Oryzias latipes: one gene and its partner. The protein of the gene in region 1 purifies or fractionates together with the protein of each later gene. This does not show direct contact. Links are inferred from orthologs where the notes say so. Each region holds a gene or a part of one and is shown on either strand. Other genes may lie near its edges.

Region 1 (11,608 bases):
TTAGTGATGTCAGACCCCAATGGGGTTCTTCTAATCTAGACTGTTACGTCCCTGGGGAGGGCACAACAGCACAACCATGAAATAAGACAAGAAGTCAAGAATGATTGATATATACATACATATATATATATATATATATATATATATATATATATATATATATATATATATATATATATATATATATATATATATATATATATATATATATATATATATATATATATATATATAGTTTATAGTATTGACTTGAAGGATTCAGGCTGCTGCAAACCATTACCCCCCCCCAAAAAAAACTTAACTTAAGTGAATCTTCTCAGAAAGTTATAGGAAGAATGGGAGAATCTTGGATCACGGGGATGGCGCTGGCGCAAAAATACGAGTGGCGAACCTTTAATTGAAAGATTGCAGGTGCAATTCCTTAGCCTGCCCCCCATGTGCCAAAGTGTCCTTGGGCAAGACACTGAATTGCACATTGATCCTGGTGGTTACAGGTTGGTACCAGTGCCAGTGTGTGAATGTGTGTATGTGTGCATGGGATTGTGACTGTAAAGCCCTTTGGACCTTCAAAGGGAAGGTAGTACAGCTATTTAGAAAAACCTTTATTGTCCCCATAATTCTTGACTCAAAAGATTAGAACCATTTTAGTAAATTAAAATGATTTGGAAGCTGCAAACATTTCCTTTCATTTCCACGTTTTTGGGCTCACTGCATTGATCATTGGTGACGTGGATGATCCACAGCAGCTACTGAAATAGTGATGACATTTTTATGTCTATGTTCCCTAGCAACCAGTTGGTAAACGGTTGAAACCACTTCAACGTCGCAACCACAAACGTATGATCCGAGACCCCAAATTTTTGTGTGGTTGCCATGGTGACAAGTTATCTTGACCATCATTTCTAGAGCAAGTAGTTAATGTGCAGTGGCTTAAATTAGGATTATATTCGTAAGGAAAACTTCGGAGGCAGACTGTTTCTTTTCTTAAATATTTTATTCAAAAAAGCAGAACACTCATCTCCAGAATTTCAAACCATCTGTATCAACACTACTGGCGACGAGCCGGCTCGCATCACAGCCTGCACCGATTGTAGGGGAGGGACACCTCTCTCATTTGAATTCAGCCATGATTATTTATCTCAGATTAGATTATCCTTTAGAGGTTTAGATTCTGAGAGATGGAAGTCTACGATCGCAGGCGAGTCGGCGGCTGCCATAGGTGAACCCTCAACCCCTAAGGGGTTTGATCAAAACCAGCTTGGGCAGCTGATGTACTTGAGGAACGACATATGGCAGAGTTTCATTCTAGGATGCGAAAAAAACAACAGAAAAGCGATTCTGGTGAACTTCCTGTGGTTGATTGAGGACAAAAAAAGTGTTTAGTTTTTTTTCTGCAGGAAAAACAAAACAACAAAAAAGGTTCTTTTGAATCCAGAATGAAACTCCTGAACATAAATTACAGACAATGCTTGAGATATTTTACAGAATATATCTTACATGAATAAACACAACATATACAAGCACAGTTCTTTTTTTTCTTGATTTTTTTTTTTTTAAAGTGTCATGTGGGAAGGTTATTTTGTAGAAATTGAGTTCTGCATAAATGATGGCACATTATCTGCAGACTGTCGAATCCTCTAACCAATCAACAGAAAAACTTAACGAAAAGTTCTTCAAAGTTCTGTGCAAAGAACGGTTCCACCTCGGTCGGTTCTGCAGCTGAAGTTTAGGGGAGATGAAGGGGAGGGGGGGCAACGGGTTCTGCTTTATTGATCCAACACTCGACTTGGCGACCCGGAGAAAAGAAGGACCCAACCTCATCTGAGAGTGGAATAGATCAACAGGAAATGGACCTGCTCCCTCGTTTAGCCCCGCCCCCCTTCATTTGGACAGACGCTTTGGTCCGTTCCAGGAAAACAACTTTTTTTGTTTTGAATAGATGGAAAGATCAGAAGCATGCCGCTCTGGTATGCTTCTGATCGGTTTCTTTTTACGGTTTCTGTAACCGCACTTACCCAGAATGCCATCTGACATATTTCCTCTATGAGACAATTTTAAAAAACATTTTGGGGAGGAAGAAGCTCCTAAAAACCATTTTCCTGCAAAAGCACATCATTCCAGCAAGGTTGATAAAATAAAAATTTAAAACACGAAAGCGAAATGGTTGCCGGTAAAAATCTTAGAGTGTCCTCCGACGGCAGAGCCACAGGTTCGAGTCCTCGGTCTGTCCGCCTCCCCGACCGCACACATGGAAGCCCTGATTGAGTCCTTTTGCTTTTTTGATTCAGATGGTTTGAAACTTAACAGAAATACATACATACATACAAAACCAAATGATAAAAAACATGAATAAAAGGGGAAAAAAAAGAAGAAAAAAAAACATCAGAAATTGTGGCTTTAATGATTCCAAAGTCCGCCGGTCTGTTCTTGATAAACTTCGATGACGTCCTCATCCTCCATGCCCAGCTATAAAAAAACAGAAGAAAACACAAACCTTAGTGACCACTAGTGCTTGGTTTTCGCTCTTGCGAGTGTCGCTTACCTCTTTTGGGGTTTGGTTATCTGCGATTCTCTGTCCCTCAAAAAGAAACCGTAGCGTGCTCGCCAGGACTCCCTGAAAGAAACGTCATCCTCTGCTGTTAGACCATTAGGAGATTTTTATTTTTCCTTCAATCAGCTCTCCTTGAACGCCGCCGCGAGGCGCTAGGAGCACGAGTAACGATTACATAGACGAGCTTTTAGGTGTAACCCTTATGCTATCTTAGATGACCCCACCCTTACATTGACGTGTTCTCCCTACCATGACAAAAGTGGAAAGATTTCATGTAATCCATGGACACCAGTGAAGATCACAAATCATTGAAGAAGAAAGGTTAAGCGCACTGTCTAGTGGGTCTAGATGACCCAACTCCTAATGTTAAAGGGCCTAGGATAGCACAAGGGTTAAAGAAAATTAAGCTTAAAATTACATTTAAAATTGGGTTATTTTTTTTTTATATTTAAAATCGTTGTGAATCAGGAGCAGACAAAATTAAACTTAGTTGGAAAAAGGTTGCAGGTATGATTCCAAAGCTACTACGGCAAGCCACAAGGCTCCCTTGCAGACAAATAGACTCGTGTAACTTTTTTTTATTTTCCTCGTCCGAGCATCCGGATCCAAACTGTGCAGCTGGATAGCTCCGATATTGCTCGCCATTTTTGTTGCACTGCTAATATTAGCTTGGGAGTCTTAGTAAGCTAGCGGGAGAGCGTGTCAAAAAAATAAATAAAAATCACTAGGAACTTTTTATTTTTTGCAATAGATCAAAAGATGATCAGAGTTATCTTTTTTTTAAATAATGGCGTGTTCTACCATAAGGAACTGCATTTGGATGGATCTGCGAAGGCTGTCATTGGAAAAGTGGCGATGCGTCTTCCTCTTCATACCTGTCTCTGGCTGTAAGACTCTTTCAGCTTCTTTAGATGTGTGGTCATTTTCACCTTGAAGTGGATTTCACTGCTGTCCTGTGGGCAGAAACGGACACACACAAAAAGGTGATGCAGCTCAAAAACAATAACAACTTCCAGCATTAAAACGAATACATCTGTAAATGATAAAGAATTGGCAGAATCATTGACCAAAAATAATAGCCTTCTATAAACAATAATAGAGACACCACCACGTGCCATAACTTTATTTGAAATGGAGTAGAATACGGTTTATTTCTAAATGCAGACAGTAGTGACAACAAAAGCAGAGACACAAAAACAACCTACCTGACCGATCACTTTTAGTTTGATGTACTCTCCATCTTTCTTGTCGCCTCCGTCCTGATTGGAAGGTTTCGTCTCCTGACAGAAACATCACAAAACATTGCTACATGATGCGACCGCTAGCACGCTTTCGAGGAAGGCCCGTCTGTTTACTCCGCGGGTTCCACGAACACAGAGAACATCCACCATAGACACGAGTGTGGGTTCGGTCCCGCCAGCACCAGTTCTGACCCCCCCCCCAAAAAAAAATCTCAAAAAACTACACAAAAGCTCACGTGGAGGGTAAAAAAAAATCGCTAAGTTCAGTCAGAGGCCTGCAGCTAGAACAGCTAACGGTTAGCATGTTGTTAGATAATCACGTACGAGGCAGCGTCCATAACAAACACATTATCGATTTCTTAGTAAAGTGTTGACAGAAAATCATTCGAACTCTTCAACGTTCTTTTTCTTACCGTGTCTGACATGTTTATCCTGACTGTGTGCGGGAGGGGGAGGGAATCCCTTCAAGGTGTAGCGTTAGCTTTTAGCGGTGGCTCTTGCTTTATGTTGTGAGGAATGCGACATCAAACGGAAGTGACGCAGGGCTGTTCAAAATAAAAGTCGCGTGAAGGAATTTGTTTTGTAGCGGATTGTCTCCATAAGAAAAGCGCGCGCGCGCACACACACACACACACTCATACAAAAACCTTGCCTTTTCCAGTATTATGAAGTCTTTACTCCTGTTCAATATTCAAATGCAATATATATGTTTAGATTAAATTTATATATTTTTAACATGGGCTTAAAAAATAGCATTTTATGATAATTTAATAAATAACTATATATATATAGAGAGAGAGAGAGAGAGAGAGAGAGAGAGAGAGAGAGAGAGAGAGAGAGAGAGAGAGAGAGAGAGAGAGAGAGGATGAAACAGTCGACAGCCGACAGTGTGCTCAGTGAATGTCTCAGGCAATGGAGAGCAGAGGATACAGTGCTGGAGGACAGATCCTCATGGGAAGACAAACCCCTGCATGGGACGTACCACCGGACCATAACTGAAGTGGCTGATATCAAGAAGTCCTACCAATGGCTAGAGAGGGCTGGCCTACAGGACAGCACTGATGCGCTCCTCCTGGCAGCTCAGGAACAAGCCCTGAGCACCAGAGCAATAGAGGCTCAGATCTACCACACCAGACAAGACCCAAGGTGTAGGCTGTGCAAATAAGCGCCTGAAACAATCCAGCACATAACTGCAGGGTGTAAGATGCTGGCAGGGAAAGCATACATGGAGCACCACAATCAAGCAGCTGGAATAATATACAGGAACATGTGTGCAGAATATGGACTGGAAACCCCAAGGTCAAAATGGGAAACACCTCCGAAGGTGGTAGAGAATGAGAGGGCAAAAATCCTGTGGGACTTCCAGATCCAGACTGATAGGATGGTAATGGCGAACCAACCAGACATTGTAGTGGTGGATAAAGAACAGAGGAAAGCCGTTGTGGTGGATGTGGCAGTGCCAAGCGATGGGAACATCAGGAAGAAGGAACATGAGAAACTGGAGAAATACCAGGGACTCAGAGAAGAACTGGAGAAAGCATGGAAAGTGAATGTGACAGTGGTGCCTGTGGTAATTGGAGCACTCGGGGCAGTAACCCCCAAGCTGGAGGAGTGGCTACAACAGATCCCTGGAAAGACCTCAGACCTCTCAGTCCAGAAAAGCGCAGTGCTAGGAACAGCTAAGATACTGCAGGACCCTCAAGCTCCCAGGCCTCTGGTAGAGGACCCGAGCTTGGAGGAGAAACCACCCGCGGAGGGTGAGAGAGGCGTTTTTTAAATGTATATATAGTTTTCGTGTTTGTTTTTATATTATTTATTTATTTTGTATTGGTGCAAAGCACGTTCGGTTGTGCTTTTGTAGGAAAAGAGCTATATAAATAAAGTTTGATTTGATGTAATCTTCAATATTCTAACTTTGAAGAATCATAGTTTATTAGAGACTTTTCACATGTTGATAATTAATATAATGTCAATTAAAATACTCTTGTTGTTTTAGATTTTTACAAGGCATTTTTAAGCCCCCCCCCCCCCCCATCACTCTGGAATGGCAGAGTTTATAGTAGACATTCTTTAAAAAAAAACAAAACAAATTTAGAAGTCGAGGATCCCACATCTATTGAAGTTTGTTTAAATGCAGTCTTAATTCCGTTGAGGTTTTGTCAAAGTAAAATAAATAAGCCAATGTTTATTAGGAAACCCACTTTAAGCTTTTACTTTTGTAGGTGCACTGAAGTACTTCCGGTTATAAGGAATTGTGTTTTCTCATGAAGCTTGATTTAACTCCAGGGTCAACGGCGAGCCGAGCCACTGTTAACCAAGGTGTAAAGTGCAACGAAATGAGAGGTGTCGATTAAATTGGCCCTTCAGTCGCGCACAGACACGGAAAGGCGTTCCTGGACGACCGTGTCGTCTTGGTCACAGACGCGGAAAGTGCGGGATAAACCGACGGCCGTCGGGCCTCGTCGTCGTGGCCCAGCGGGACTCGGGGTGAAGTTAAGAGCGGACTGCCAAACTTCTGCTTCCTCCCAGCGACTCTCCGCAGGGCCCGGGGCTCCTGTCACCGGCCGTGTGGATGAGTAGTTGGACCGCGGTGCAAACAACCCACAGGTGAGACTATATGACAGATGAATGTCGCTTGAAATGACTCGGTGGTTGGCTCTGTTGTGTTTTGTTAACGCCAGTGTTGACCCGACGAGTTTCGATGATCTCTGCGGCTAGCTGTTAGCATTAGCTTGACAACAACTTCCCTGGCCTGACAGCTACTGGTTCTACACGCAGCCGCTGCGCTTCCTCCATCGGGTTCACGCATGCTGTTGTTGTGTTTGCATGTCCAAACGAAAGCAAATCGCAAAGGGTGCGCTGTCACAGCGCAATGAAATGTCAAAATAAAGCTAGCAACAGTTGTTAGCTTCCGGGACAATTCAAGCTAACTTGGAAATTCACAGCTAGCTTGTTATCCAGTAAAAACAGCCGCAGTTTCGGTGTTTCTGGTTTTAGCTTTGCCCCAATAAATAGATGTTGATCACAAGTTTCTTAGCAGTGTTTACACCATGTTAGCTGAGCTTTAACGCTATGCTTAATGTCACGAAATTAAACTCTTTCCTTTGATGTTTAGCTAAGGAATGCTGCATGTTGTTGCCATGGTGTTAGCACAGCCATAGCACGAGTTTCCCCTTATAACAGCAGAGAGGGTTGATGATAAAACCAGTTATTATTCGCAGTGTTTACATGACATCTGTTATGTCAAGCCATACAAACACGCGTTCGGTTAGCTAGCATGATGCTTATTCTTATTTTTTCCTGTTTAAAATAACTTTATTGCTCAGACCAACAAAATGACAAAAGATGGTCAGGTGTTTTTTTTCTGGGTTATGTGGTAGTTCCTTAAGTTAAATGAATTGTGAAATGTGACGAAAAGCTATGAATGAGGTGATCATCTTATATCAACCAAACTGGGGTCAAAAGAGAACCAGTCTGGCAGATATTTGGGTAAGCTCAGTCTTGTTGCCGTGGAAACGCTGACAGTAAAGTTAACTTTAGCCATGTGAACTTGCCCTTTGTGTTGGATTGCCATGGGGAGGATGTTGACTTCATCACATGGAGTTTAAGGGGAAAAAATAAAAAAAAGAGTAGGAGAAATAGAAGATTGCAATAAATAACTTTATTCTATGCAGAGAATTCTATCTATAAAATGTCCTTCAGTGGTCCTGTAGTGACTTATGCTGTGTCTGAATTCCCACCCTAACCCCTACATAGTGCGTTCGCCCTTTTGTAGTGCTGTCCGGATCTACAATTCCAAAATCGAGTGCCCCCAGAGATTTCCCAGAAGTCTCTGTGAAAAACCAGTGTGCATCGATGCTCATTAGATCGGTGAATATAGACCACAATGCATTCCATCGGAACAATTTTTGCCCCAAAAAAATGTAATTAAATGTTTTTATTTTAAATAAATCATCAACCTTTTATCTTCGGAAGACAGTGGACTCATAAATAATCGTCGTAAAGCGCTCATATCAATTAGATTTTGACTTTGTGAAATCGATTATGTCATGTCTGCCGTTAAAAAATAAAAAAGTTTTGAGCATGGTGTTCGAATTACTTTTAAAATTCAGGGCGCTACATAGTGCCGCACTATATAGTTTGTTAGTAGTTAGGGAGGGAATTCGGACACAAGCTTAGTAAACCTTACTAAATGCTTTACAAAACACGTTTATGGGGATGTAGATACTTCTATCTTTAAAAAAAAATTGCAAAATGCAACATTTTGAAATAATCAAATGTGTAGATAAAAAAATGGTATTTGAACATGTGACTTTTACTGCCCGCGTATTAAATCAGTCCAATTTTTTCCCCCAAAACTTCACTTTATTTAATCCAGATTATTTGTTTATCAGATGATCTATTTCAAAACAAAGTTTTGATTCTTTTTCATTTTATTTTTTTAATCAGAACGATATACAGATTTTAGGCTGAACAAAGAGGAATTTTTCATTATTAAAATCTTTTATTTTTGACGTTTTTGTTTTTCATTTCTTTCATGAAGGCACCAAATACACAAAATTACAGATTAATCACAGATTGCAAAGTATTACAACTAGCATTAGCATTATTTGTGGACTGTAAACATTTACAAAATGAACAAATTCTTTTTCATCTGAAAATGAAGCACAATTAAAAAAAATATTAATCAGTCAAAATGATGAATGACCGAATAATTTATCCAAAAAGAATTAATTAATTAATAATAATTTTGGAAACAGTCGTTCTTTTGTTTATTTTTTTTAATGAAAAACTATTAGTTCTTTATATTTTGGACGGTAAAAGGAGAAGAAAGTTTTTTGTCCGTATTTGTTCATCCCATTTTATTCAAAAATGTTTTGTTTTGGTACGTTTAATTTGAGCTAAACATGAATACAGCAGTTTCATCTGTATAGCGGCGTTCACCGTTCTGTTTTAAATAAAGCTACTTAAATACCACAACAGCATTTGCGAGCATTTACAGATGTTTTAGATCCAAATCTGCTCATCAGTCGGAAGATAACCGTCTTTTAACTTGTGAAGCTTCACGCCGGGACTTCTGCTCCGCTGTTGCAGGAGGAAGGAATCCCTTTGATGGGAGAGTCCTCTTTCCTGGCCTCCTGGGTCAGCCGCCGTGCCATGATGATGGGTATGTATGCACTTTGTTGGCAGCGGGCTGTCGAGATCCTTTAGCCACTGTGTTTTGTTTTTTCAATTCCAGGTTTTGGCTTGTGACCTTTAGAAGCAGAGAGCATTCACCTCCGGCTGTCTGTTTGTTCCACTGTTCCCCCCACCATCTTTGATGGTAATTGGAGGTTCTGTCGTCCCACAGATGAGCAGGAGGCCCTGAACTCGATCATGCAGGACTTGGCCGAACTGCACCGCTCCAGCCGCCCCGCCACATTCCTGTCGGAGTTGGGAAAACCCAAAACTTCTTCACCCAAGAACCAGGTGAGCGCCGGACCCCTCTGAGGTGGTTTTTTTCTGAACTTTTACTGAAGTTAGGAGTTGCTGAGTTTCATTCCATTCTCCTCAGAACGATGTGAGGGTGAAGTTTGAATTCAGAGGGGAGAAGAGGTGAGACCCTTCCTTTTTGGTCCAAACATGGTCCGAACGGCACAGCCACCTCCTGACCTCTCGTCTCCTCCGCAGGATCCTGCAGTTTCCTCGACCCGTCAAGCTGGACGACCTGAAGGCGAAGGCAAAAGTGGCCTTCGGTCAGGCGATGGGCCTCCATTACTCTAACAACGAGGTACAGATCCGGAGGCCGAAGCGCAGAGGTGGCCCGGAGCAATCGCAGCGCCACACCCACGCCGTCTTTGCTCTTCCCTCCCACAGTTACTGATCCCGCTGGTGACCCAGGATGACCTGGACAAGGCCGTGGAGCTGCTGGATCGCAGCGTCCACATGAAGAGCCTGAAGATCCTCCTAGTAGTCCAGATGTCCTCGCAGGTCTGTTTGCTCCTTCTAGCAAGGGAGCAACTATTTTGAAAAAAAAACCTAGATGACGTACAATGAAAGAGACATTTTGATGTATGATAAGATTCTCACACTTAATGAAAAAGTTCCCAGAACAATAATGACTCATTAACTGTAAATGTGTGCCTTAATATCCACCACATCCTCATGTCCTTCGCTATCAAAGCTCAGACTGATGCCATAATCCCCTCATGATAACCTAAATAGTTTTTTGACTGTTGGAAGCACTCGCAGGTACGGAACTTGTCGAAGCAGCATTCGTGCTGAGAGCGCCTGGACGGTTTCTGTCCCCCTCCCGATGGAAGTGAGCGATGATTGGGTTGAGTTTGAAGATTTCAGCAACAAACGGTTAATTTAAAAAGAAAATGTTTCCTTAAAATAGTCAGGAAAATTCCTACCTGTGAGTATATAAAGCTGTTCATTTAGTCAGCAATATATGTTTAAGGTCGACCGAGCGTTAGCATTAGCCGTCCTATGGGGAATTCCATTATACGTTAGCATCAAGCTAGCAAATTTTGGCTTTGCTGCTGTCATGCGATTTCAACTTTTATGGATTAATTGATCAACCAACCCAGCCCTTCGTGATATGATTTCAAATGTTTATTGTGTTTCTAAATAATCCATTTTGGTAATTTTGGCATGATTGTTGTTTAAAGCCAATAAGAACATCAACATTGAGAAAGCCCAAATGCTTCCAAACATTAGCTTTAAGCCAGTCGGACCACCCAGTTTGCAGGGGGTCTTTGTTTGTCTGGCTTATCTGTTTTTGTTTTCTTTCCAGAACTCCCCCGCCTCCAACATGGACCTCCTTCCATCCCACGAGGAGCTGGATAACAGGGGCTTTGGGGTTGCGGACAAAAAGAGCATGCTGTCTCTGATTGGTCAGTCAGGTGATTTCCTTTTGTCTCCTTTATCAGCTAAAGGCGGCCAGCTTATGACCTCCAAGAAAAGTGAATGTAGATTAGAGATGGATGGATGAAAAGTCTGTGACTGTCGGATGCAGCACGGTTCCATCCCATTACTAACCCATAGAGTTCAATATGATGTTGGTCCATCTTTTGCACCTATTACAGTAGAATAATTAAATGAGTCTTAAGATAGATCCCTGGGGAACTCCTGACTGAGGTGAAGCCCCAGTTGAGTCTGAGAAACGTCAACAAGTCACAGCGAGGAGAACCGCTCCATGGAAAAATGGACGTGCAAAGCGACACAACCAATCGCCGCTCACCTGAGTTTCTCTTCCAACCGCAGGGTCCCTCTCGACCGACCGAAGCTCCCCTCCCCCAGGATACATTCCCGATCCTCTCCCACAGGTGGCACGAAACGGCTCCTTCACCAGCATCAACAGCGAGGGGGAGTTCATTCCTGAGAGTATGGATCCGGTATGGACTCTGCCTTAAACTTGGTTCTAATATTATTTCACATTTCCAACAAAAAGAAAAATGCACAACAACGTAGTGCGGAAACATTTTGGAATCCAGTTTGGATGCTATGCTCCTAATTTGTGAGGTTTTGGGAGTAAAATTATGGTTTTAGCTGTTGGAGTTAACTCAAAGTGATGTTTTGTTTTTGTTTTTTCTGTGAGGCATCAGAACGGCTGCCAGGTGCACGCATTACCCCAAAATAAATATTCATAGAACGTCTACAAGTTCAGAGTTCACCAGATGGTCGTTTGAAGTCTGAAAACTTCAAACAAATATGTCCAACTTTTTTAAGCTCTTCATTATTTTGCCTTCAGATGTTCGATCCCTTATCCATGAGCAGTCCGGAGAATTCCGCGTCAGGAAGCTGTCCGTCTTTAGACAGCCCGCTGGACGGG
Region 2 (11,798 bases), on another chromosome or scaffold:
GTTTGCCGACGCTCCTGTCGGCTTCCTCCGAAGAAAACTCAGCTCAGTGGCCTTGTGGTAGAGCGTCTGCCTTGTGACTGGAAAGTCGTGAGTTCCAATCCAGGTCGAGTCATACCAAACACTCTAAAAATGGGACCCAATGCCTCCCTGGTTGACACTCAGCATTAAGAGGCTGGATTTGGGGGTTAAACCACCAAAAGGTCTGCAGCTCCCCGCTCCCCCAGGGGAGGGGTCACCTGTTCTAGGTGTGTGACAGCTGATGGGACTTTGAACTGCTGCTCACATGCAGGGATCCTAGACCGAGTCCTCCCAGAGGAACACGTGCCTGATCCCTCAGCAGATCTCTGTCTGTGATCGGTTTAAAGACGAACGGCTTCACCATCATTGATGTTAGCGGCTGGAACCTGGGATGAGCAGCCAAACTTTAAAATTCAGCTGGAAGAGAATCCTGTGAGAACTCGACCATCTTCAGACAGAGCTCTCACATCCTAAAAGTCCACGCCGATCCTCTTCGGTTCTATTTTCAACGTTTTTTCACTTTTCACTCTGATTATGCCGTTTTTAGCCAAAATCCCAAAAAGCTGTTGCTTGGTGTAGCTGCATTAGGCTGTGAGTGAGTCTGCCGAGCTGAGGTCGGATCCAGTGAACTCGGCGTTCAGGTGAACGTGCAGGTCTTCTTCAGCTCCCCTCATTTCCTGCTGGTGTTTTGCAGACATGTTGGATGAGAACCAGAGCAAACTGAGCGAAGACCTGATGGAGTTTCGCCGCGACGCCTCCATGCTCAACGTAAGTGAACGCTGACCAGGAGGAGCGCGTGAAACGGGAAAGGCGGGGGGCGCTTTCGTGATGCTGAAACTAAAGGCTCATGTGGTTGTAACTCCTGCAGGACGAGCTGTCCCACATCAACGCCAGACTCAACATGGGGATCCTGGGATGTGAGTTCCTGTCTGGTCTCCTGTCTGGTGCTTCCACACCTGGATTCAGTTCAGTTTGCAGCATTTGTTGAAATGTTTGTGTGCAGCTTATGATCCACAGCAGATCTTCAAGTGTAAGGGGACCTTTGTGGGCCACCAGGGGCCCGTCTGGTGTCTGTGCGTCTACTCCACCGGAGACCTGCTGTTTTCAGGCTCCTCTGATAAGACAATTAAGGTAACCCCCCCCCAAACAAAAGATTGTTTTATGCAGTTATTTTAAACTTTTGGTGCTTTTTCACAAACAACCAGAGTTTACTGTCTAAAGATGGACACACACACGCATGCAGACTCACACACACACACAAACTTGCACATGTACCCCTCGCACACACACACACACACACACTCACATACAAAACTCAAAAAACTCATGCACACACACATTTACAAGCTTAAAAACTCATGCACACATGTGCATAAATACATGCACACACTTACACATGAACACATCCACATGCACACACGTCCACATGCACACACTTACACATTCACATATGCACACATGTACACTCAAGCACATGCTCACACCCGCTTGCACACGTGCCCCCCACACACAAACGCATGCACACACATACACATGCGCACACACGTATGCAGACTTGCATGCACAGAAACACACACAGGAAAACGCACAAACACGTGAACATACACAAACACACATGCGCATGCGTACACATGCTAACGCTTATACACACATGCATTCAGGCACATGATTTTTTTTTTCTATATTATTTTTTACATTTTTTTCAGTTTTTCATTTATAGTATTTACATATTACAATATAAACAAACAAACAATAAAAAAAAAAGAACAGGCGGAAACGTATGAAGCTTGTTAGACGCCTATCCTCCAATATGCTTCAATGTCCATGCTGATCGTTTTAACAAACCAGATACAAACAAATCAAAACAATCCATTCAATGTATTGTTTGTTTGCTGTCAGGTGTGGGACACGTGCACCACCTACAAGTGTCAGAAAACCCTGGAGGGACACGACGGCATCGTTTTGGCTCTGTGCATCCAGGGGTAACTCCACAGAAACCACAACTTTAAAGAATAAAAAAACAACCATCCCCCCAGACGTTGACCCCACTGTCTCTCTGTTTCCATAGCAACAGGCTGTACAGCGGCTCTGCGGACTGCACCATCATTGTAAGTCGTCCCGCCGCGTCGCCTCTTCCCTTTGACGTGAGCGGCTGGGCTGACGGGGGCGGCGTCTTTCTGTGTTTTACGCCTGCAGGTGTGGGACATCCAGACTCTGCAGAAAGTCAACACCATCCGCGCCCACGACAACCCCGTGTGCACGCTGGTCTCCTCCCACAACATGCTGTTCAGCGGCTCCCTTAAAGCCATCAAGGTGCGTCTGCTGTCGTCATCAGCGCAAAGGTTTGGGGAGGAGAGGATGATGGGAGAAAGTCTGAAGATAAACAGCATCAGAGGTTCCGTCTGCATCCCTGCTTCATAGTTCTGAGTCAGCGCTCTCTCCCAACTCCTCGCCGGCCTCCGGCGTTGTCCCGGTTCCTCCTCGGCTCTGTCGCAGATGGTCGCAGACTAATGGAAGGTAAACAGCTGGACTGTTGTCATGTGTTTAAGGTTTGGGACATCGTGGGGACGGAGCTGAAACTCAAGAAGGAGCTGACCGGTCTCAATCACTGGGTCCGAGCGCTGGTGGCCTCCCAGAACCACCTGTACAGCGGCTCCTACCAAACCATCAAGGTATGAGGGGGAAGTTATTTATTTCACCTCTTCTTTTAAAAAAAAAGTGTTTTAATACCCAGCATGCAACATGACTGTTGAATGTTTATAATCCTTCCTGCAATTTAGAAAGAGCTTTGGAGCAAATGCTGTTAGACACACAGGAGGGGTTAGTTTCTGCATCCCAGAAAGCATGAAGGTCAGTACCTGCTGCAGGTACAAGTCACAGAAGACGGACCAAACATCCCTGGGATATCCGTCACAGGAAAAAAAAAGGAAGAGGAAAAGCAAAACATGGAACAGAAGAAGTAGAATTCTGGGATAGATCCTGTTGTTCCTGCTGTCTGAACTAGCTGAGAACATTTTCCCATGATCCTCTTCTTCCACACAGGCGAAGGTTCCAGATCCTCCGTCGTTTGTCTGTTTGGCACAGAGAGAAGATCTGTTCTGTTATTTTTCTGTAAACGATCCTGAATCCCTGAGGATCGTTGATCTGTGCAAATACAGAAATAATCCTTTTGAGAAGAAAAAGTCCAATTCTTCAGAAGGATTTAGGAAATGAAGTGTAAGCTATGGTGAAAGCTGCCACATAGCTGACATCGGTCCATTTCCTCACCAGATCAGTCTATTTAAAGCAATCCAAAAAAAAAAAAAACTAGCAAATGTCGACACGTTTTTTTTTTACTCTGATCTAAATAGAAACCTGTTCTGTTAACATTATTCATGTTTGCCTTCATTCGTCTCATTTTCAGTCTGTTTAATCAAATTTGTCATAGATTAAGTTACGTTATTTTTATTGTTGATTCCTCGGCTGCTTTTATTTTGACGCGGTCGCTGGTATATACATTAGCGGCGGTGGCGGCTAACAAACGTCTCCCCCCGTCTGTCAGATTTGGGACATCCGCTCCTTGGAGTGCGTCCACGTCCTGCAGACCAGCGGGGGCAGCGTCTACTCCATCGCCGTCACCAACCACCACATCGTCTGCGGCACCTATGAGAACCTGATCCACGTAAGAGCGCCCCCTGTCTGTTCGCTGGGTCAACGCTCAGTTCTGCTGCTCCCCTTGAGCAAGGCACTGTGTTTGAACCTGAGCAGCCTCCGCGTACGAAGTGAAGACGCTCCCTCCAGGCAGGTGACGCTCATGTATTTCCTCTGCAGGTGTGGGACATTGAGTCCAAAGAGCAGGTGCGGACCCTGACGGGCCACGTGGGCACCGTCTACGCGCTGGCCGTCATCTCCACGCCGGACCAGACCAAAGTGTTCAGCGCCTCCTACGACCGCTCCCTCAGGGTGAGAGTCGCTGACGCAGAGGCCCGGGCCAGCATTCTGAAAACAGCATTTGGGCGGGGCAAAGCAAAGTTTGACCCGTTGGTTCACCCATTGGACAGCCCACCTGTCAATCAAAACAACCTCCACACCCCTAAAAATGATCACAAAAGAGCTCCAGGAAGTTTGGGCTTCTGGACTTTCATATTCACCAACGCTCCATATGTTTGTGTTTCTGTCCGCCACATTATCCAGAACCGCAGGAGAGGTTCTGGATAATGCCTGCCCCCCCCCCAATTGATGACATCACAGCGGGAGAAACTGTCAAAAAGATGAATGCGGTCAAGCTCTCTTCTGGAGCGGTCTTTCCTTTCTACCTCGTAGTTCATCTTTCCCAGTTTAGCTCGTTCTTTTAGAGCGATGATACTGCTTTTTTTAAACAGCGCACCCTGTTCTGTGTCCTGATTGGCTGGAGACCCTGTCAATCAATCTCCTCCGTCTGTCCTGTACAGAAACGTGGAGCTCTTCAGATCTACAGAAATCTGTGATGGATCAGATCTTTGTTTTCATTCTAAGTTCCTGGACTTAATTTCTATGAAGGTTTGAGAATTTAAACAAGAGAAAAGGGTGAAAATGTTCATGTCTGTCTGAGAAAAGTGTAGAAAGTGAGTAGTGAGGAGTTTCACTGCCATAAACGTCTGTAATCATTCTCTCTGGATTTCACCCATAACTGGTTCTTTTTGGAACGTAACTCCTGCAACAAACGAGGGAACTCTATACTGATGAAAAGGCAACGCAGATATATGCGTAGCTGCAGCAGAAGACACAGAAATGAGCTTTTTCGTGGTTACTGGATGAGAAACAGACGTGCAGGACACAGCTGCTCAGTTTTATTGCAAACTGTGAGACATGTGAGGAGCTGCAGCTTCAACGTCTCAGCGAGAAAATGACGACAGAGGATCCACTATTTACTATTATTATTTTTACTGTATCAGTAGATGTTTTCTTTTTTGTCTTTGAAAATCACAGAGAGAGTTATTTGGTCATTTTTTATTTCATAAATAGTGTTATTTATTCTATTTAAAGGATCATGAATGAATCAAACTTTATTATAGGGCTTTACAATGAAAGACAGACAAAAGAAGTTAAAAGAAAAACAGTTATTGTGGCCTCACAAGAAAAAGTTTGGGGCCTCCGCTCTAGCATCCATGCTGTGTTGGAAGATTTGTTCTTTTTCATTCTTCTGATCATTAAAACACCACCTGAACGCAGCATTTCTCTACGTTTTACATGAGGTTCATCAAGCCGTTGGTGCCATTGCCTTTAAAATGAGAACAAAAGTTTTAACCTAAAAACTCTAAAATGTTTGGTTTTAAAATATAATTTTCCATCCAAATGTTTTCATCCAGATTCCATGTTATTTCTTTCTCACTCCACTCTTCTGCTCCTGGTTCGGCCCTTCTGTCCAATTTTAGAACTTTGTAACCCGCCAGTCAAAATAATTGCCCACCCCTGCCTTAGGGTGACCAAAGTGTAAAATGGTTGCTATGGAGATAAAACCAACGGGAGAGCTGCTATTTTGAAAAAAGTGTTTCATCTCCTAAACCCGTTTTGTCCCTTTTGGGGTCACCGGGCTGCCGGAGCCCATCCCTGCCACCCGTGGGGGAGGGGACATCCTGGTCAGGTCACCAGGGTGAAAAAAAGTTATTTTTTTTGTTTTTTATGAATTTCTCTTGTGCAGCTTGGACCAGGGTGGCCGGGGCACAGAGGGGAGAGAGGGCGGGTCAAAAGGGGGTGGCGAGGGCAGGCCATACCATCTGTCCACTACTGAGGAGGAGATCAAAAGTGGAATCTGTTTGCTTCCTGAAAAAGCCTCTTGTTTTGTTCTGTTCTTCAGGTGTGGAGCATGGACAACATGATCTGCACCCAGACCCTGCTGAGACACCAGGGCAGTGTGACGGCGCTGGCCGTGTCCAGAGGACGCCTCTTCTCTGGAGCCGTTGACAGCACCGTCAAGGTTGGGGGGGCCGCCGCCCACCACCGTCAGCCGATGGAGCTGCTTCTGCGTCAGTCATGTGACCGTGTCTCCTCTCCGTTCCAGGTGTGGACCTGCTGAAGAGGCTCAGCGGGCGTCAGGCCGACTCGGGCGCTCTGAAGCCGTCGGCGTGGCCGTGACTCTGCAGACGACGCCTGGAGCACTGAGCTCAGTGATGGAAAGGTTGTCGCTTTGACACCACATGTTTGTTCTTTTATAGTTTTGCAGATATCAGTGTTGTGATTCTCCTCTGAGCTTTTAACACTCGCGCTTTGTCGTGTCCTCGGCGTTACGTCTTTTCTAAAAACTCCTCGGAGAAGCCGCTAAACCTCTGCAGTGGCGGTTCCACTGAGCTCCACCCAGAGCCGTCAAACGGTTGTAACCTTGTGTATAAAAGTTTCCACGCTCCGCCCCCCCTCCTCACTCCCCGGACAGGAAGCTGGGCGGCGCTCCTGACCCGTCTCTGAGGGGAAACGACCAATTGGTTCACTCCAGGGTTCTGAACCCGACAAACAGCTAAAGCGAAAACGGTCCCCGCAAAGTCCTCCGCCGGTTTCTGGACCCATATTGGGTTGAAAATATGAACAAATTTCTGAGGAAGCGTAAGAAGACTGAAGATCTTCATGGTGTTAATCGTTTTGGCTGAACCAGGTTTTTTACTGTTTCTTTTTTTAAAACCCAGTTCACAGGAAGAACAGGGAAAGAAAACGATGAAGAGTTACACCCCACCTAAACTTTCAGTAACATCTTATATACTTGTAGTAATTTAAGATGCAGTTGGTCCTTGATCAATAAAAATGTTGTACACTTTGTTGTGTGTGTGAGTGTGTGAGTGTGTGTCAGCTGAAAACTTGTCCTTTCCAGCAGCTGAGCAAACAGATGGAGCTGATAGCCTCACGTGTTGGACACATTTTACTTTAACAGCAGGGGTTCTGAATATTTGGACACACTAGGTGTATATTTGAATAAACCCCTTTTGTAGTTTAGACTAAACTTTGTTCATCTTGCTCATATTTGCAGCAATGTTTTTGTTGGATTAGAGGGAAAAGTAAAGGTGGGAAGAAGAGAGAGAGAGATGGGGGGGGGGGGTGCGCGGTAGAACTGTGAAGCAGCATAAAGTAACAAGTTGCTGTATGTTTATAATCAAATCTAAAAGGGGCGGAGCCTGTCCACACACACACTCAAATGTAACAAACATACCTGTTGGCTCCAAAAATGTTCACATACAAACATGTACACAATACAGCCAATGTTCACACGCATACGTATGCCCACAGACCAACACGTGAAATGTTTCATTCAGTCACGCAAACCACCTGTGCAATGGGGAGACGGCTCCTGTGCTCGAGAGTTTCTGTTCTTCTAAGGAGAGTGCCCGGTCGGTCATCCCCACACCAAGACCCCCGCCGCGGCAGCCAGGACCCCCCCAACACCCACAATCGCATCTGCCAGCAGGACCACCGCACGGGCCCCCAAACCCAGAGAGCAGGGAGTCACAGGGGGACGGAGAGTCCAGGCCCCTGCCGCGTTGGGAGGGCCCCAACGCTGGGCCCCGCCCTAGGAGAGCACCCCATCACCACCCAGTAGTTCTTTATAAATTCACCTGTGAGTTGTAAAAGGACTGTTGGCGTGGAGCAAGCCCGCCCATACTTCCCAACATCCATCTATTAAACTCTGCCGCTAGCTCACAGACCCTAACACCCTCAAACTAACATTACCAAGGCAACAAAAATGGCGATCAATATCGTAGTTATTGTCATGTTGTTGCTCTCAACCCTTGTGCTATCCTAGGCACTTTAACATTGGGAGTTGGGTCATCAAGACCCACTAGACGGGACCCGCTAAAACCCTACACAACCACCCTGGACCCGCTAAAACCCCAAACAACTGCCCTGGACCCATTACAACCCCAGCTATTGGGCCTGCCCCTCATTAGGTCCCCCAACTTGGGGTTTAACCCGTAACACGTCTGATACCACATTTATCCAGCTGCACATGCAGTTTAGATCCTGATTCCAGCTCTGACAAGGAAAACAAAGACTTTTATGGATCCGTTCTTAGAGAGTTCGTGATCAGAATAGAGCTTGTGGCCTAGTTTCTACATCACAAATACAATCTTTTTAAACGGTATTTTTTCATCTCTAATTTACTTACCACCATCATCAGAAAAAGATGTTTAAAACACTTGAAACCCAGTTCTCATCAGAGCGGGTCTTTAAATGCCATATAATATCTTAAGAACGGACAAAAGACTTTAGTTTAGCAGATTGTTCTCATGTTTTAATCTGGGCCTAATCTACATAATCCACTGATCATTTTAATTACCAGAGCATCTGAATTTAGGTGTGGGTTAAAGCTCATCTCTTTGTGAAAAAACACAATTACAAGCATGTTTGCTATACATAACATGCAAATTCCCAAAGGAAAAAATAGAATCAATATGAATAAGTATTCTTTTCTACTCCTTTGAAGGGAATACAAATGTGAATGCAATAAGTCTCGTTGTTGGAGTGGAACTTCTCGTTTGCCTCCAATCAATCCTGATTTCCATTAAACCAACTCCACGAGGTCGAGATTCATTTTACTCACTGGCCTAAAGAACTTCAACTGAAAACGGCTCAAGACAAAACGTCCCAAATCATCTCCACCATTTTCAGATAAACTATAGGGTTTAAAATGAGCATCATAAGAGCAAGGCTCAATGGTAGAAGTAAGAAAAGCTGTTTGCAGTTGTTGCGTCATCTCAGTAAAGATGATGACCATTTGGTCTTCATCACCAGTGGTCTTTTGTTTATGATTATGCCGTTTTGGGGAAATTCTTTTTTTTTAAGTGTCGTTTTCTAGAACCTAGTGTCTGCAGAGCGACAGGAGTTCATTAGAAATGTATCTCTGAGTTGTGGGCGGGGTTGCTGGGCATGAAAATTTTCTTTCCTATCCCACTCATGTCAATATTTGTTGTTGTATAAATTATGAGTCATATTATTCACTAAAAGCTGATAAAATAACCCCAGAATGAAGAAATGGAGAACTATAGTCTACATTTGACCATTTTCCACATACTTCCCCTCGTAAAGCCTCTATACCTTGAAAAGCCTTTAACCAATTACAGACATCAGCTTCCTGCTGACTCTGGGCTCGCTTCTGCCTAATTCGGATTTTACTCTGTTCATTTCACGTAGTTGAAATGATTTGACTGTAGTGTGTTAAATAGTAGAAAGATGGACTGTATACAGTACTGAGGCCCTACGTCAGTCCAAAGCTTTTGCCTTTTCTCATCATGTTTGCTAAACCTGTTTTGGCAGCCATGTTTTAACCTCCATGACGTCAAAATCTCTGATAAGACAAGAAGGTAATTTGTGGAAAAAAATGCTAGTCGGTACACACTAGATATGAATTTGTGCGCACCAAATGCTAATTTCTTTGCACGAAATGCTAACTTTTACTCCAAGATGGTAATTTGTGCTCACAAAAAGCTAATTAGTGCAACAAAATGCTAATTTGTTTGCACAGAATGCTAATTTGTACGTGCAAGATAGCAATTTGTGCACACAAACTGCTAACTTTTACTCCGACGTAGTAATTTGTGAATACAAAATGCTAATTGGTTTTCACAAAATGCTAATTTATTCTCACAAAATGTTAAATTTTACTTACAAAATAGTCATTTGTGCTCACAGAATGCAACTTGTGCACACAAGTTACTATTTTATGTGCACAAGATAGTAACTAGTATTTTGTATGCACAAAATGCAAATAAAATGCTTATCTGTGGCCTCAAAATATTAATAGTAGCACAAGGTAACATATTGTGGGCACGAGATACTAACTACTTTACACAAATTAGCATTTTGTGGCCATAAATTAGTAATCTTTGGAAACAATGTCATGTCCAGGGCTCTGCAGTTTCTAAAAATTCTGTATTTCCATATATATTCCTCCAAGTCTGCCAGTGGGGCGCCAACATGACTGAAAGCCAAAAACTACATCGAGTTGGACCACAAAAGAGAAAATGAAGGATCCGCCATTTTTGTTCATACCCATCTACTGTATTGAAGTCAGGCCAAAATCACAAAGCAAGGCACATTTTAAAGAAAAGAATTCAAACAATACAAAAAAATGCATTAGAGTGAACAAGTTTTACACATTGCCACACCTGGACACATGTAGGCAGAGAAATAAATATGAAAAAAAAAAAAGAAATTACACAATGAAATATTCCATGATGGTATCCTACAATGACTCTTTAGCTTAGACCACTTAAGCAGGAGAAGCAACTGATTCAACACCTAGATTAGATCTGTTTACCTTGAAAAATACTCTTCAGGATAACAAACACATCATAAATACACTTCCTATTTTTACTTTTGGCAAATATCCATATATATAGAATCTCTATGTGATCAGAATTTAAATACCAAAGCTCTGAATTATTATTTATTGATAAATATGTGGCGTTTGGCTGCAAATGAGACTGTGAAACCCTTTATTTTCTGAACGGGTTGAGAAGCTAATTAAATACAGGAACATTACACCAACTTATCATTTAGTACACGAAACAAAGCAAACAACACCAGGCTTCACAGATCTCCATGACTGATAACTCCATCCCAACTTTCCCCTTTCTCCTTTTTACGTGGCAGTGGCAAACGTTCGTGGAGACGTCCTGCGGTTGCCACGGTGATGCTGATGAGAGTGGTGATAGATTGTCATGACAAAACAGGGGGGCGAGTGCGACTTCAATCCCTTTTTTCTCAAAACTGCATGTGCTGTTGAAACCTCCTGAGCTTTATGCCGATCCGACTTGAGAGTCTGACTTTCCAAAGTTTTATTGTGCGACACGCCAAATCTAAAAGCATCAAAAAACGGACAGAATAGTGGCATAAACCTGAGTCATTCCTGGTGCAGGAGGTTGACGTTGAATGATCTTCAAAATGACTGTTACTAAACCTTTAGAAACACAGATTAAGACGAGAGGCAGAGCTAATCTGACAGATTATCAAATGGGGTTTAACTCAACAAAACCTAAATGTTGATTATGAAGGGAGGTATCAAGGTCATAAACATTAGGGATGCCACAGTTCTTGGTTTAAAACTGAGTCGTACGTTGATCCATTGAACCGAACAGTGGTGAAAGTCAACCGTTGCAGACCTCCCGCCTACCGCCTCCTGTGTTGTGCTAAATGTATTATTGATTGTTTTTTTGCATTACGTCAGGCCCTCGTAAAGATGTTTCTTCTTTATTACTTGCTTATTAGCAAATTAAAAATGTCGGAATTTTACTTTTTGTAAAACACAAATCGTACATCAAAACTAAACAGAATGGATGTTTGAACAGAATTGTTAAGAAAGTGGCATCCCTAAAAAAACATGGATCCCAGGATCAAGCATGGCGGTAGAAGCATCATGTTTGCCCTGATGCTCATTAAGTCACCTACACATCTTTTGACCCACTAAACACAAAACAGTGTTTTTGATTAACGCTCACTGTTATTTTAGAGTATAGAGAGTAAAATACTAATATGAATGCGTGACCAAATTCATAGTTTTCCTCTTGCTGATGAAAATCTAGAATTCGTAGACATGTAAAGGTGAAATCGTCTTTGCTAGCTTTTAATCTATTTTCCATCATCCTGCGAAAGAAACAGATGAATGCTGACGTCTGCTAACTTTGCATGTTCAGGGTTTACTAACTTCATTCAGGATCATGGAAGGTAGGTGAACATGTGACCAAACACGGACATGCTCCACAGCACGCAGCTGCTCTTCCCTGGGAATCAAACGGTAGAAAAATGCTGACATTTTTACTGGGATGGACGTAAAAACTGCG

What was found.
Region 2: the proteins of map3k2 (region 1) and traf7 purify together in Homo sapiens (affinity purification with mass spectrometry; 3 studies listed by BioGRID and IntAct, with this or other methods). This does not show direct contact. The link is inferred for Oryzias latipes from reciprocal best matches to the Homo sapiens genes MAP3K2 and TRAF7.

What each region holds. Positions count from the first base shown.
Region 1 is NC_019860.2:9,897,876-9,909,483, forward strand, and holds the start of map3k2 (mitogen-activated protein kinase kinase kinase 2), read left to right. Parts: upstream 1-6,043; 5' UTR 6,044-6,399; intron 6,400-8,886; 5' UTR 8,887-8,904; coding exon 8,905-8,959; intron 8,960-9,142; coding exon 9,143-9,261; intron 9,262-9,346; coding exon 9,347-9,387; intron 9,388-9,462; coding exon 9,463-9,562; intron 9,563-9,648; coding exon 9,649-9,762; intron 9,763-10,570; coding exon 10,571-10,679; intron 10,680-11,040; coding exon 11,041-11,171; intron 11,172-11,527; coding exon 11,528-11,607; intron 11,608-11,608. Other genes in the region: sumo1 (small ubiquitin-related modifier 1), read right to left, coding at 2,398-2,466, 2,543-2,614, 3,427-3,504, 3,757-3,831, 4,206-4,217. UniProt on the Homo sapiens protein: Component of a protein kinase signal transduction cascade. Regulates the JNK and ERK5 pathways by phosphorylating and activating MAP2K5 and MAP2K7. Plays a role in caveolae kiss-and-run dynamics.
Region 2 is NC_019866.2:23,013,025-23,024,822, forward strand, and holds the end of traf7 (E3 ubiquitin-protein ligase TRAF7), read left to right. Parts: intron 1-712; coding exon 713-786; intron 787-886; coding exon 887-935; intron 936-1,021; coding exon 1,022-1,149; intron 1,150-1,917; coding exon 1,918-2,000; intron 2,001-2,086; coding exon 2,087-2,126; intron 2,127-2,214; coding exon 2,215-2,331; intron 2,332-2,567; coding exon 2,568-2,690; intron 2,691-3,559; coding exon 3,560-3,679; intron 3,680-3,828; coding exon 3,829-3,960; intron 3,961-5,833; coding exon 5,834-5,953; intron 5,954-6,037; coding exon 6,038-6,052; 3' UTR 6,053-6,781; downstream 6,782-11,798. UniProt on the Homo sapiens protein: E3 ubiquitin and SUMO-protein ligase that plays a role in different biological processes such as innate immunity, inflammation or apoptosis. Potentiates MAP3K3-mediated activation of JUN/AP1 and DDIT3 transcriptional regulators.